Linked DNA regions of Schizosaccharomyces pombe. The protein of the gene in region 1 interacts with the protein of each later gene in a pairwise test. Each region holds a gene or a part of one and is shown on either strand. Other genes may lie near its edges. The genes, in order: stn1 and pmt3.

Region 1 (4,353 bases):
TAACGTCGTTTATTAATATGTCGAGGCTGTCGTAGATGCAAATGTCTCATTTTTACTAAACAGTTTGTTCATTTGAACAAAAAGAAAGGAAAAAATAATGAATAGTATCAATAAGCAAAACGATGAATACACACATTTCCAATTTTTTTTGAAGTTCGGATTCAAAAACCGTTACAATTTAATAAATGTCGAGTACATTGATTTATACAGTAATCAAATATTCATTAATTCTTATTCAGATCATAAAGAGAATTTCATCCGAGAACGAATGGCACACTATGGGTTTCATCACACAATATCATAATAGAAACAGAAACAATAAGTATTAAACCAGCGAATGTAAGAAGATTCAGAAATAAATCTTTTTAATTACTAACCAAGCGCCTCCGTTCTAACCAGCGAGCCCATGCTAAATCCAAGGGTTAGTATACAATAAATGTACAGAAGTTTAAGGATGTAGAAAAGGTTAAGAATGAAAGACTAATAGAACAGTAATGGAAACAAAAATGTTTAAAAAATAACGAAAGATGTAAATGTAGACCAACAAGCAGACCATTTAAAAACAGTTTATAGGAAGAAAAAGCTATAATTCAAGCTGATGGAATAAGAAAATCAGTTGTGCTCAATCTTTCTCCAAAAACGGATTTTTTTGCTCTATTATTCAATTATTTGCAAAACTTATTTCCTCTTTGAGAAACTAAAAGCAAATAAAAAAAATCCACCATCTATTCCTATTCCTTTAATTTATACTAACTTACCATGAAATGCGAATTTACGACCAAGAAACTTTCCTAACAACGGGAACACCACCAAACATAAAACTCGTTCCAATTGTTCAATGGAATCCTTTAAATCATCATCCAATTCACTAGAATAGGTATCATCTTCTCCATCTGAAATTGGGTCAATTTCAAGATCTAAAACTTCGGCCATGTTGTTTTCACTAAACTGACTTTAGAATAGTTCGATTGAACTAGCAACGTTGTATTTAGAATTTAATTAAAAAATTTTTCTATTGTCAGCAATCGAAACCCCTTTAACGTATGCTTAAAAGTGTATTATTACCAAGTATGGCTCTGGTGAAGGTCACATAGTGGCTGTTACATTTATACATAGGACATTTGTCGAAACAACATTGATCATGTGAGACTAAATTTTGAAAACAGGGAGTATATTCAGCAAAAATAATTCATATTCACTGATGATAAGAGGTTATTTGTTTCTATATGCTTTACCTATGAGTTTGGGTACATTGTTTGTATTCTTGGTATTGCTAGTTTATTCAATTTCAGATGAAAGCTGAGCAGAACAGCCGCTGTCATGCTATTCGCGGATACCCTTTGTTTCACAACAAATATTTCGACCTAAGAAAAGCCTTTATTTTTGCCATCCTTACCTCTAAGTGCTTTGTTTGGTAACACTTTATTGAAGAATTGATAGACCGTTATAAACATAAAACAAAAAAAAGTTGGGAGTTTTGGTTTTTTTTAGTTACTCTTTTAAAGAATGCATTTTTCCACGAGGTTTCTTGATCGAACACAGTAGGAGCAATATAATTTATCTTCAAAACAGTTGAATGTGAAACATCAATAACTGAAGAAGTTTGGTTTTCATACCTCCTTGCGTATTCCCTATTCATAAATAAATCATATAATTTAGAATTATCCGGTATATGAAGATAGGAATTTGTGTGCTAGAATTTAGCAAGATATAAACAATGCACATTGGTGTGACATTTACAAAATTGGTTGACGAATTCTGTACTCTCACTTTTTGTCAGTAGACGTCTTTTTTAGGATCTTCTCTCAAATTCAATTATAACTAAGTTGCGTGAAACCAGACTAAATTCAATTGATAAAGTTGTTTAGTCAATTAGCATTTTTTATAACAGCATCAATGCATGTCCTAATAAAGAGTTAAGATATTTTTTTTCCTTTTAATCTTACTGTAGAAACTTAAATAGTTATTATCCTCGTAGAATTGCTCTATCCTTATTACGCGCACTCAGGAAGATGAAGACTTCACAAACACCAAATCATTGCTTAATTTTCGAAAACGCTGCGATTGTTGTTGATAGTTGACCAGAAGCATACTAATTTTTATTTACTTATATACTTGAAAAATTGCAAATCATATGGTTGAAAGTCTTTAAGGGAATGACCTAATAAATGCTAGAAAATGAAAATCAACTAACGCATCAATTTCCTACATTATCAAGATGGAACCCCATGTTTATTAGCGATGTTCATAAAATTTCATTTCATCCACATTTACAGCGTAAGTGCTCTTTCTGTAAAATAAATATCACAAAGTGATTCTTACAAATATCTAGGATACATTGGCTTCTGGATGGGATTTCCCATAAGATGGATTCAAATTGTTGGCTATATTGCGGCAATTGATATTTATGAAGGAAAGCATGTTTTAACAGGTAACGAATATCAGCATTGAGGCAATAAGCAGTTCCACTACTGCATACACGACTCATTTAGTTGTTGAATCTAGTTAAGGTTTTTTATAAAATCAACTTTTGAGAAGCATCTGCCTCTATAGCTCCCTTTTTTCTATTTCCTAACTGAATTTAGTGGATGATTGTAGCGGGATGGTATTGCGTGTCGTGTTTATTATTCAAGATGATTTTTCAATGTCAAAAAGAGCAATATCTATGTCTCCTGGAAATGTTGTCTGTGTCTTTGGAAAGATAAATTCTTTCCGATCTGAGGTTGAATTAATTGCTCAGTCGTTTGAAGAACTTCGTGATCCAAATGATGAATGGAAGGCATGGCAGAAAAGGATGAGATACAAAAAAAATTTAACCAAAATCTCTAAAAATCACCATTCAATCATTCGCACACCCAAGAAATCCTATTTTCCTAAAGATCATGCGAAGGAGTTACTTAAGTGCATAAGGCAGATGTGTAAATTAAATGTGCAAGCTGGATTTACAATTGAAGAACTCATTATTTATTTAAAAGCAAAAGAGTTGCACCTCCCACTTGTTCATATATTCAACGTCGAAAATGAAATAGTAGAGAACTGTGATGGAAATCACATACTGGCGCTTAATTTCTCTTTGCAAACATTACTACAACATGGGCGGATTGTGAGAAAGTCAAATTCAGTTTATATGCTTGTCACTTCAAAAGACATAATACGCTTTGTGATTCCTCTGATGGCAAGTGGTCTTCTCGAAGCCCACAAGGTTCAAAGCATAGTGAGAGATTCCAACCCAATGTTTATCACACTCCCTCTTTCTGCGATTGCTAAACACATTTGTCAATTTTTGCTTCGTACAAAAGGGAAATGGAGGCAAGCAAAGAAATATACCTGGGTGCGAGATAATCAGTTTGTATAAAATGAATTTCCAGTTTCCTTTAATATCACATTGACGCGGAGATTTAATTGCCTAAAACTAAGTTCATTGTTCTATATGCAATATTACAATCCTCTATTAATTTAAGAATATGTTTACGGAAACAGATCAATAAGTACACATGGGTATATAAGCGGTTAATCTGATGATGAAATAGATTTACATGTATAAAGCTTTCTTTTTTACTTTTGAATTGATCAGTAGCATCATTGCATCAAATTTAATTAATGGTCAGCACCAATTCATCAGCTGCTTATACAATCTAGGGTAAAGAAATATAACTAAGCATGATAATAAGTTACTCTTAATTTCCTGAAGTTCAAACTTGAAATGCTTTGCATCGCTTACTGGCCTAAGCATCGTACTTCGATTATTATAGTTGGAAGTCATGAGGATAAAACTATGTCTTTTCTGATCATGTCGTAAAATCTAGCTGCTCTTCATACTGAAATTGGAATATTAGATAAGATTTAACTACTAAAAAAAAAGATTAAGGCATCCGATTGCCAATTGTATAGATTGCAATGATGCTCCTTACTGCTTTGAAGTTGAGTAAAAACGAGATAAGCCCATAAACTTATGCAATTTATTTTAGTTGTTTTTAACTACTAAATTGACACTTCATATTGGTGGTTGTTATTTTTTTTTAGGTATCGAAGAATTGCTTATGGTCGTAGAGTTATGTCAATCTATTAATTGATCCAGTATTCTCGCACTGGGAGATCACACATCGAATAAAATTTATTTCGTTTCAATAAGCAACAATAAATATAATAATTGGTTTCTTTAAGCTCGTATTATGCCGCAAAATCTATATTTCAAAATTTAATCCTCATAATAAGCTACGCATAAATTATACTAAATTTTAACCAGGCAAAGGTTGTTACGCGTGGCGCAATGGTAGCGCATCTCATTCCTATACGACCTGATCGTTGTTGGGGAGTGAATTACGAGAAGGTTGCGGGTTCGAGTCCCGTCGT
Region 2 (6,166 bases), 1.3 Mb from region 1:
TTGACCTGCGCGTTTGAAATGAAGTTGTAGAGTTTCAACAGAAGAATCCTTAGGCAAATTACCAACAAACAAAATGACCTTTCTGTCATTATTTTTCCCTTTCTGTCGTTTGCTTTTCAAAGTTTTATGAGGGGGATTTGAAACGCTATGTTTATCTTTATCATTTGATTGTGCTAGTTGCTTTTCTGGTAGTTCATCTCTCGATATTTTGTCAGCGGCTTTCTTTTCTAATTCCTCATTCTTTTGCTGTACTTTCTTCTCATGCTCTTCCAAACTTTGCGACTTTTTATCAAATTTTTTGGAGCGGTATTCCAAAGATTTTAATTTCTTTTTCGATAGTTTCGAAGACATTAAATAAAAATTTGATAATGGAGAATTGAAGGTGTTCAGTACAAAAGTTCCTCTATCCATAGGCAAGAATATTTTAACGATGTTTACCCTTCTGACAGAATGTATACATAACAAAGTTTCTTAAAACTTCGTTAAACAAATCTGGAAAGTACAATTGCACCATCGCTAGACAATATCAGAAGTCTCTTGTTCAACGAAGTAAGATAAAATTTAAAGAAATAATAACAAGTTAATTAGTGTTATATTTAGAAAAATGTCATTGCAGTACATTCAGTCATTATTAGATATTATTAGATATATAAATAAAATCATAAGTCCCCTTCAACAATAACTAAGTTTTCGGATTCTTCATCTGTGTTCGACTCTCCTTTGCTTTTTTCAGATTTATCAAGAATAGCTAAATCCGGAACTTCTTTTTCGTTATTTTTTGCTTTTTTGTCTTTCACTTTAGAGGTACCATCCCCATAACGATCTAATATGCTTTGATCAATATGTTTCTGGGTAGTCATACGAGATGCCTTGTTTTTTCGAAATTCCAGCTCACCAGCTGTTGGATTGGCTACAACATGGACACGAGTTCCAGAACGCTCAGCTTCCCAGGCAAACATTTGTAGTTTTTCGAAGTCTTCTTTTTCACCACCAGATGCTTTGACAAAGCCAGCACCTCCAGAAGAATCATCCACCATATGATATCCAGTTTCGTCTCTCATTGATCTGGATTTGGGTTCATATTGTAAGTTTTTATTGTCAGCTCGCAAATACGCCACCACATCTTCTCGCATTCTAAGGCTTGGTGTAGTTATGGATGCAGAATCTTCGGAACCAGAAACGGTGGAATTTCTTGATGCTTTAACAGCAGAATTTTCTGACGCATCCCTATTCTCTTCCCCCTTATTTTGTAATTCGTCCAATTTTTCATATCTCTCAATAACTTTCTTATAATCCGTGGCATCATAGCCATTCCAACGATCACGTTTCGCATCCCATGAAACGTTGATATCTTGAATAACTTCGTCTGCTTGAATATCTTCTCCTGTCCAACGAGCACCCCGCTTTCTTGGTCGCTCCATGCAATCTTTAACTTTATGGGACATGGCTCCACAATTCTCACAAGCACCCTTTCGATATTTTGTAGCAGCAGGTCCTAATTTTTTCCCTCTAACGTACCAAGAGCCTTCAATGGAGGAACGACCACCACTTGGTGTCTCTTTCTTGCCTATCCTTTGATGGGCTAATCTTTCGACCGCATCATCATCCTGAGCATACCAAGGAGCGGTTGAAATGAATTTAGGAATATAGGGATTATCAGCATCTGGATTATCCATAGGACGACTACGACGCTTCTGTGCCTTCATTTCACGCATCGAAGGTCCAATGTCTGTTGACATAAAGTTTTTGTCCTTAGAATAATCATAATTAGATTGAAAAGTATTATTCATATAAGACATTTTTAAGGTAAATAAATAAGAATATTAATGCTTGATTATTATGCCAATTAATTCGAAAATATTAAAAAGATTCAAGTAAAGGTTTAACACCGATGAAATCAACAAAATTGTCTTTTATAACAAAACGATATAAACCGGCTTATTTATCGACGGCTTTATTTTTATAGTTCGACAAATATTTGCTAGCGTTTCAAAAATTCTTGTAGATTTGCAGTTTACGGTTTTCTAACCATTGTTATAAGCAGAGTAAACGTAGTAAGCAAATAATTAACGTAGCTTTAAGACACAACTAAACAAAATAGTGGAGTAGATTTATACACGTTATATTATATACCACATTACGCTATTCTTGCTTCAAACAATCACAACAGTCATTCCTGATCTATGAGAATTTGATTGTACCCCCCTGTACCTGTATATTCGATTTTATATAGTATCTGAGAAAAAATGTCTGAATCACCATCAGCAAACATTTCTGATGCTGACAAAAGTGCTATCACTCCTACCACAGGTGACACTTCGCAACAAGATGTCAAACCATCCACAGAGCATATCAATTTGAAAGTTGTCGGACAGGTGTGTGCTACAGCAAGAGACTTTCATGCTATTCCTGTCATCTTTTGCTTTCAAAAGTCTTTAATGCACGAATCGTGAAGCTAACTTGATGTAGGATAACAACGAAGTATTTTTCAAAATTAAAAAGACCACTGAGTTCAGCAAGTTAATGAAGATTTATTGTGCACGACAAGGAAAAAGTATGAACAGCTTACGTTTCCTTGTTGATGGGGAACGTATTCGTCCAGATCAAACACCTGCTGAGGTAAGTTTTAAACTTTTACAACAAAAGCCGGTACTAACTATACATTTAGCTTGATATGGAAGATGGCGATCAAATTGAGGCTGTCTTAGAACAGTTAGGTGGTTGCACCCATCTATGCCTTTAGAGTACAAGTATTTTTAAGCTGTTTCATATACTCAAAACTAATATTTTGATTTTGCCAATACGTTTATCATCTCCAGCATCGTCGCTCAAAATATTTGAAAGAATCAATGAAATTAAATAAAATGATTTATATTAAAATTATTTTTTTTTAATACAAGTTTTTCCAAACGTTATTGCCTGCCTGCCAATATATCAATTTGACTGACATAAAGTTCACGCATATCCTTAATGTCCAGCTCTAATTCAAACACTTTGTCACTTTTCTGCTTAAGTGTTACCAACGTACTGGCATGCTCTTTTTCGAGGTTCTGTAATTGTAGTCTAAGCTCTTCCACTTGCTTTTTTGAATCTTCATTTGCATCATTATTTACATAGGCATCAACAATTTCTTGACGGGCCTGATCTCTTTGGATTATAAGTTGCGCTACTTGCTGCTTAGTTGTTTGTAGTTCGGCTTCTAATCGGCGAATTGTGGTAGCAAGTTGCTCCAAAAGACTAACATCAGGAACATTCCCGGCACCTTTTTCAAGATTGCTGGGTGTCCCTGATGTTGGTGATATTGCCTCAGATTCGTATAGGCTAAATTTTCTTGAAGCTTCCGAAGGAGGAGAAAGAACTGCACTGCTTATGGAAGCATACCTTGACTGAGCGTTTATACCCAACTTTCGCGCTTCTGATGCTGATCTGGAAATTCTGGATCTCTCTTCTGAAGGGGAAGGAAGATTATCCAAAAAGTTTTCTAAAGCATTCCGTGTATCGCTTTGTGGGATTTCTGAAAAACTCAAAGGAGATGGTTGCGGACTTGTTGAAATATTTAAGGGATGTAGGTCGTCAAAATAATTATCTTTGTCATTTTCTAAAGCTTCATCACGCTTGCTCATAGATGAAGGTATCGGAATAGCATTAGTAGGGGTAGTGGGATCTTCATCTTCTTTGGTGACTTTAAGCGTATCTACCTTTCCAACCGTATAATCATTATTTTCAGGAATTCCTCCTGTAGTGACAATTTTTTTAGGCTTAGATTTAACATTACTTCTTATATTAGTGTCAAGCTCCCTTTGTAATCGGTCTAGTTGTGTTTGTAAGTCCAAATTTTGGGCTGCTAAAGTATCATTTTCCTCTCTCAATGTCATATTAAAAGCCTGAGAACTCCTTATTTCTTCATCTTTCCTTTCACAAAGTTTCTCCAATGAATCTAACTGTTTAGACATTTGAGATACTTGATTCTGGAAAGTCTCACGTTCCCTTTCCCAATTCTTTGCACCATGCTCGGATTTCTCATAAAGTTCTTTCAGGTCTTGAATTTCCTTTTTCTTCTTTTCATCTTCACGTACCCATTGACTCCTTTGAATCGAATACTGGGTTGAGAGGGTCTCTACTTGACGCGTAAGACGAACAACCTCCATGCTTTCTACTGTAAGTTCTTCCATTTTTCTTTGAAGATCCTCCTTTTCTTTCTCTAAAATTGATATCCTCTTTTCAAATTGAGACTTTTGTAGTTCCAATTGTTCCTCCATCTCCTTTGAGTCAGATACCTGTAATTCCGGAGTCGCTTGTTTCTCGTCTAGGCGCTTCAACTTTGTTTCAGCTTCACTTAAACTCTTTTTAAGTTGCTTAATTGTATTGTTTAACTTTAACTCATTTTTTGAAAGCGCCTGTCCTTCCGTAAGAAGCTTTGCGATAATCTCATCTTTTGATTTTGCATTTCCTCGTGACATCTCCTCAATCTGATTACCGTCTAAGACTTTGTCAATACTGGTTTCAACATTTGACATTGCTTTCTTAAGAAAACCTCCCCATTTTGAATTCTCCATGCCTGCTTCACCGTACACTGGCTGGTAGTTGATCTGTGTACTCTACGTGGTATAGGCCCACTTTACTTTATGAACGTAAAATAAAAGATTTCTAAGTGCATATGCCTCGCACGTCAATTTGTACATATGTTTACTTTAGTCTATTGGTGAAGGATAAAAAAAGAAATTTAGATAAGAACATTATAATAAAGGGCTACATTTCAACAAATTAGTGTAGTTCGGATTTTTAGCTATCAGCATATGAATGAGAAAGCCGTCGTGTTCGTACAGGAAAGAAGTGAAATATTATTCATCAAAAATTTGAAATAGTGGAACTCATTGATGCATTATTGAAAATTGTGAAAGTTTGCCTACCAGACTCGACAGGTGATGAATGGAGTAAGAAATATTGATAAAAATTTCGAACACGTATCGACTGTTTTTAACGCACTTAATGAAATCATCAATATGAAAAATTAAGTGCCTAACTTTTTGCCCTTCCCAATGAATGTTCCAGACACCTTTTGGGAATTCAATTTGGGAGAGTTGGAGCGATGGACAACAGGAGTGTGAATCGAATCAAAAAAATTGACGATCATTGCAGAGATAATACCAAAACCCAATACTACTAGAGATGGAAGACCTCCGGTTAGAAAGCTGAAGCCAAGAAGAACATATGGCAAATATTTGCCTTGAACATGAAAACCAAACAAAAACTGGATTTTGGAAAATGAGTTAAACAAAGACCAATTATAAGCAATGGCAGCGGCAAGCGATTGATTTAACGCGCTTCCAAGTCCTGAGATCAAGGAAAATGCCTAAAGAGAAACGTTAATAAGCATACTTTAGACCTTCAAATACTCCTTACATCAATTAAAAGAGCAACTTTAACTAAATAAATAATGTATTTTTTTGCATTCCTAGCAAAGACAAAGTTTTCCAGGTATGTGCTATATTGGTAAACTATTGACAAAACGTTAGAATTTAAATACAGGTTTTAATGGATTTACGTACAAAAATAAATGTTCATGATAAAATCAAATCCAGTTCCAGCATAGAGATAATTAGTAAATAAACGATACCATTGTTTCTGACGAACGACTAACGGATAATGCAGAACTAGCATCGAAGGTGAAAGAAGTTGACATAAAGTTAAAATTGTGGTAGCTGCTGTTCCAAGCAGAATATACCTTGTTACAGGAGGTATTCTAGACAGCAATTCTTGTATTTGACCGGAAAATTCCGAAGCCATGTCTTAACTGATTATGTTTGTTCAGGCAAGGTTGTATACGGAATTGTGCTACAATTACTAACGTATCGAACATTTTCATATATATGTACTATAGTAAAATATAAGTTATTAAATCTCTAACTTAGATCAAGTGAAAGCAAAATTATATGAAATTTGGAGCTTTCATGTATTTTACAGCACCTTCAAATCAAGTAGACTAAGCTAGCAGAAAGGCTACTAAATAACACATATACGGTTAAATAAGCTACATTAAAAGTAAAAGTACAAGTACAAGCGTATTTTTTTTATAAATAATAAACCAATAAATAAATTCTCACTTTTGAAGCCTTTTAAAAACGTCAATTCTCCGGTTAGAGCTTTATATTGCGTCTTTTCTCTC

The links.
Region 2: the proteins of stn1 (region 1) and pmt3 interact in a two-hybrid assay, tested with the Schizosaccharomyces pombe proteins (3 studies listed by BioGRID).

Annotation. Positions count from the first base shown.
Region 1 is NC_003423.3:1,160,898-1,165,250, reverse strand, and holds stn1 (telomere cap complex subunit Stn1), read left to right. Parts: upstream 1-2,168; coding exon 2,169-2,277; exon of another isoform or gene 2,278-2,332; coding exon 2,333-2,431; exon of another isoform or gene 2,432-2,561; intron 2,562-2,585; coding exon 2,586-3,355; 3' UTR 3,356-3,766; downstream 3,767-4,353. Other genes in the region: protein mim2, read right to left, coding at 366-409, 759-933.
Region 2 is NC_003423.3:2,504,648-2,510,813, forward strand, and holds pmt3 (small ubiquitin-like modifier pmt3), read left to right. Parts: upstream 1-2,197; 5' UTR 2,198-2,246; coding exon 2,247-2,375; exon of another isoform or gene 2,376-2,469; coding exon 2,470-2,619; exon of another isoform or gene 2,620-2,668; coding exon 2,669-2,743; 3' UTR 2,744-2,912; coding exon of another isoform or gene 2,913-4,556; 3' UTR 4,557-5,011; coding exon of another isoform or gene 5,012-5,353; 3' UTR 5,354-5,403; coding exon of another isoform or gene 5,404-5,498; intron 5,499-5,516; 3' UTR 5,517-5,549; downstream 5,550-6,166. Other genes in the region: SPOM_SPBC365.04C (RNA-binding and ribosome biogenesis protein), read right to left, coding at 1-351; splicing factor Slu7, read right to left, coding at 660-1,799; tmf1 (TATA element modulatory factor-like protein), read right to left, coding at 2,913-4,556; Der1 family protein, read right to left, coding at 5,012-5,353, 5,404-5,498, 5,550-5,787; kin17 (KIN17-like protein), read right to left, coding at 6,138-6,166.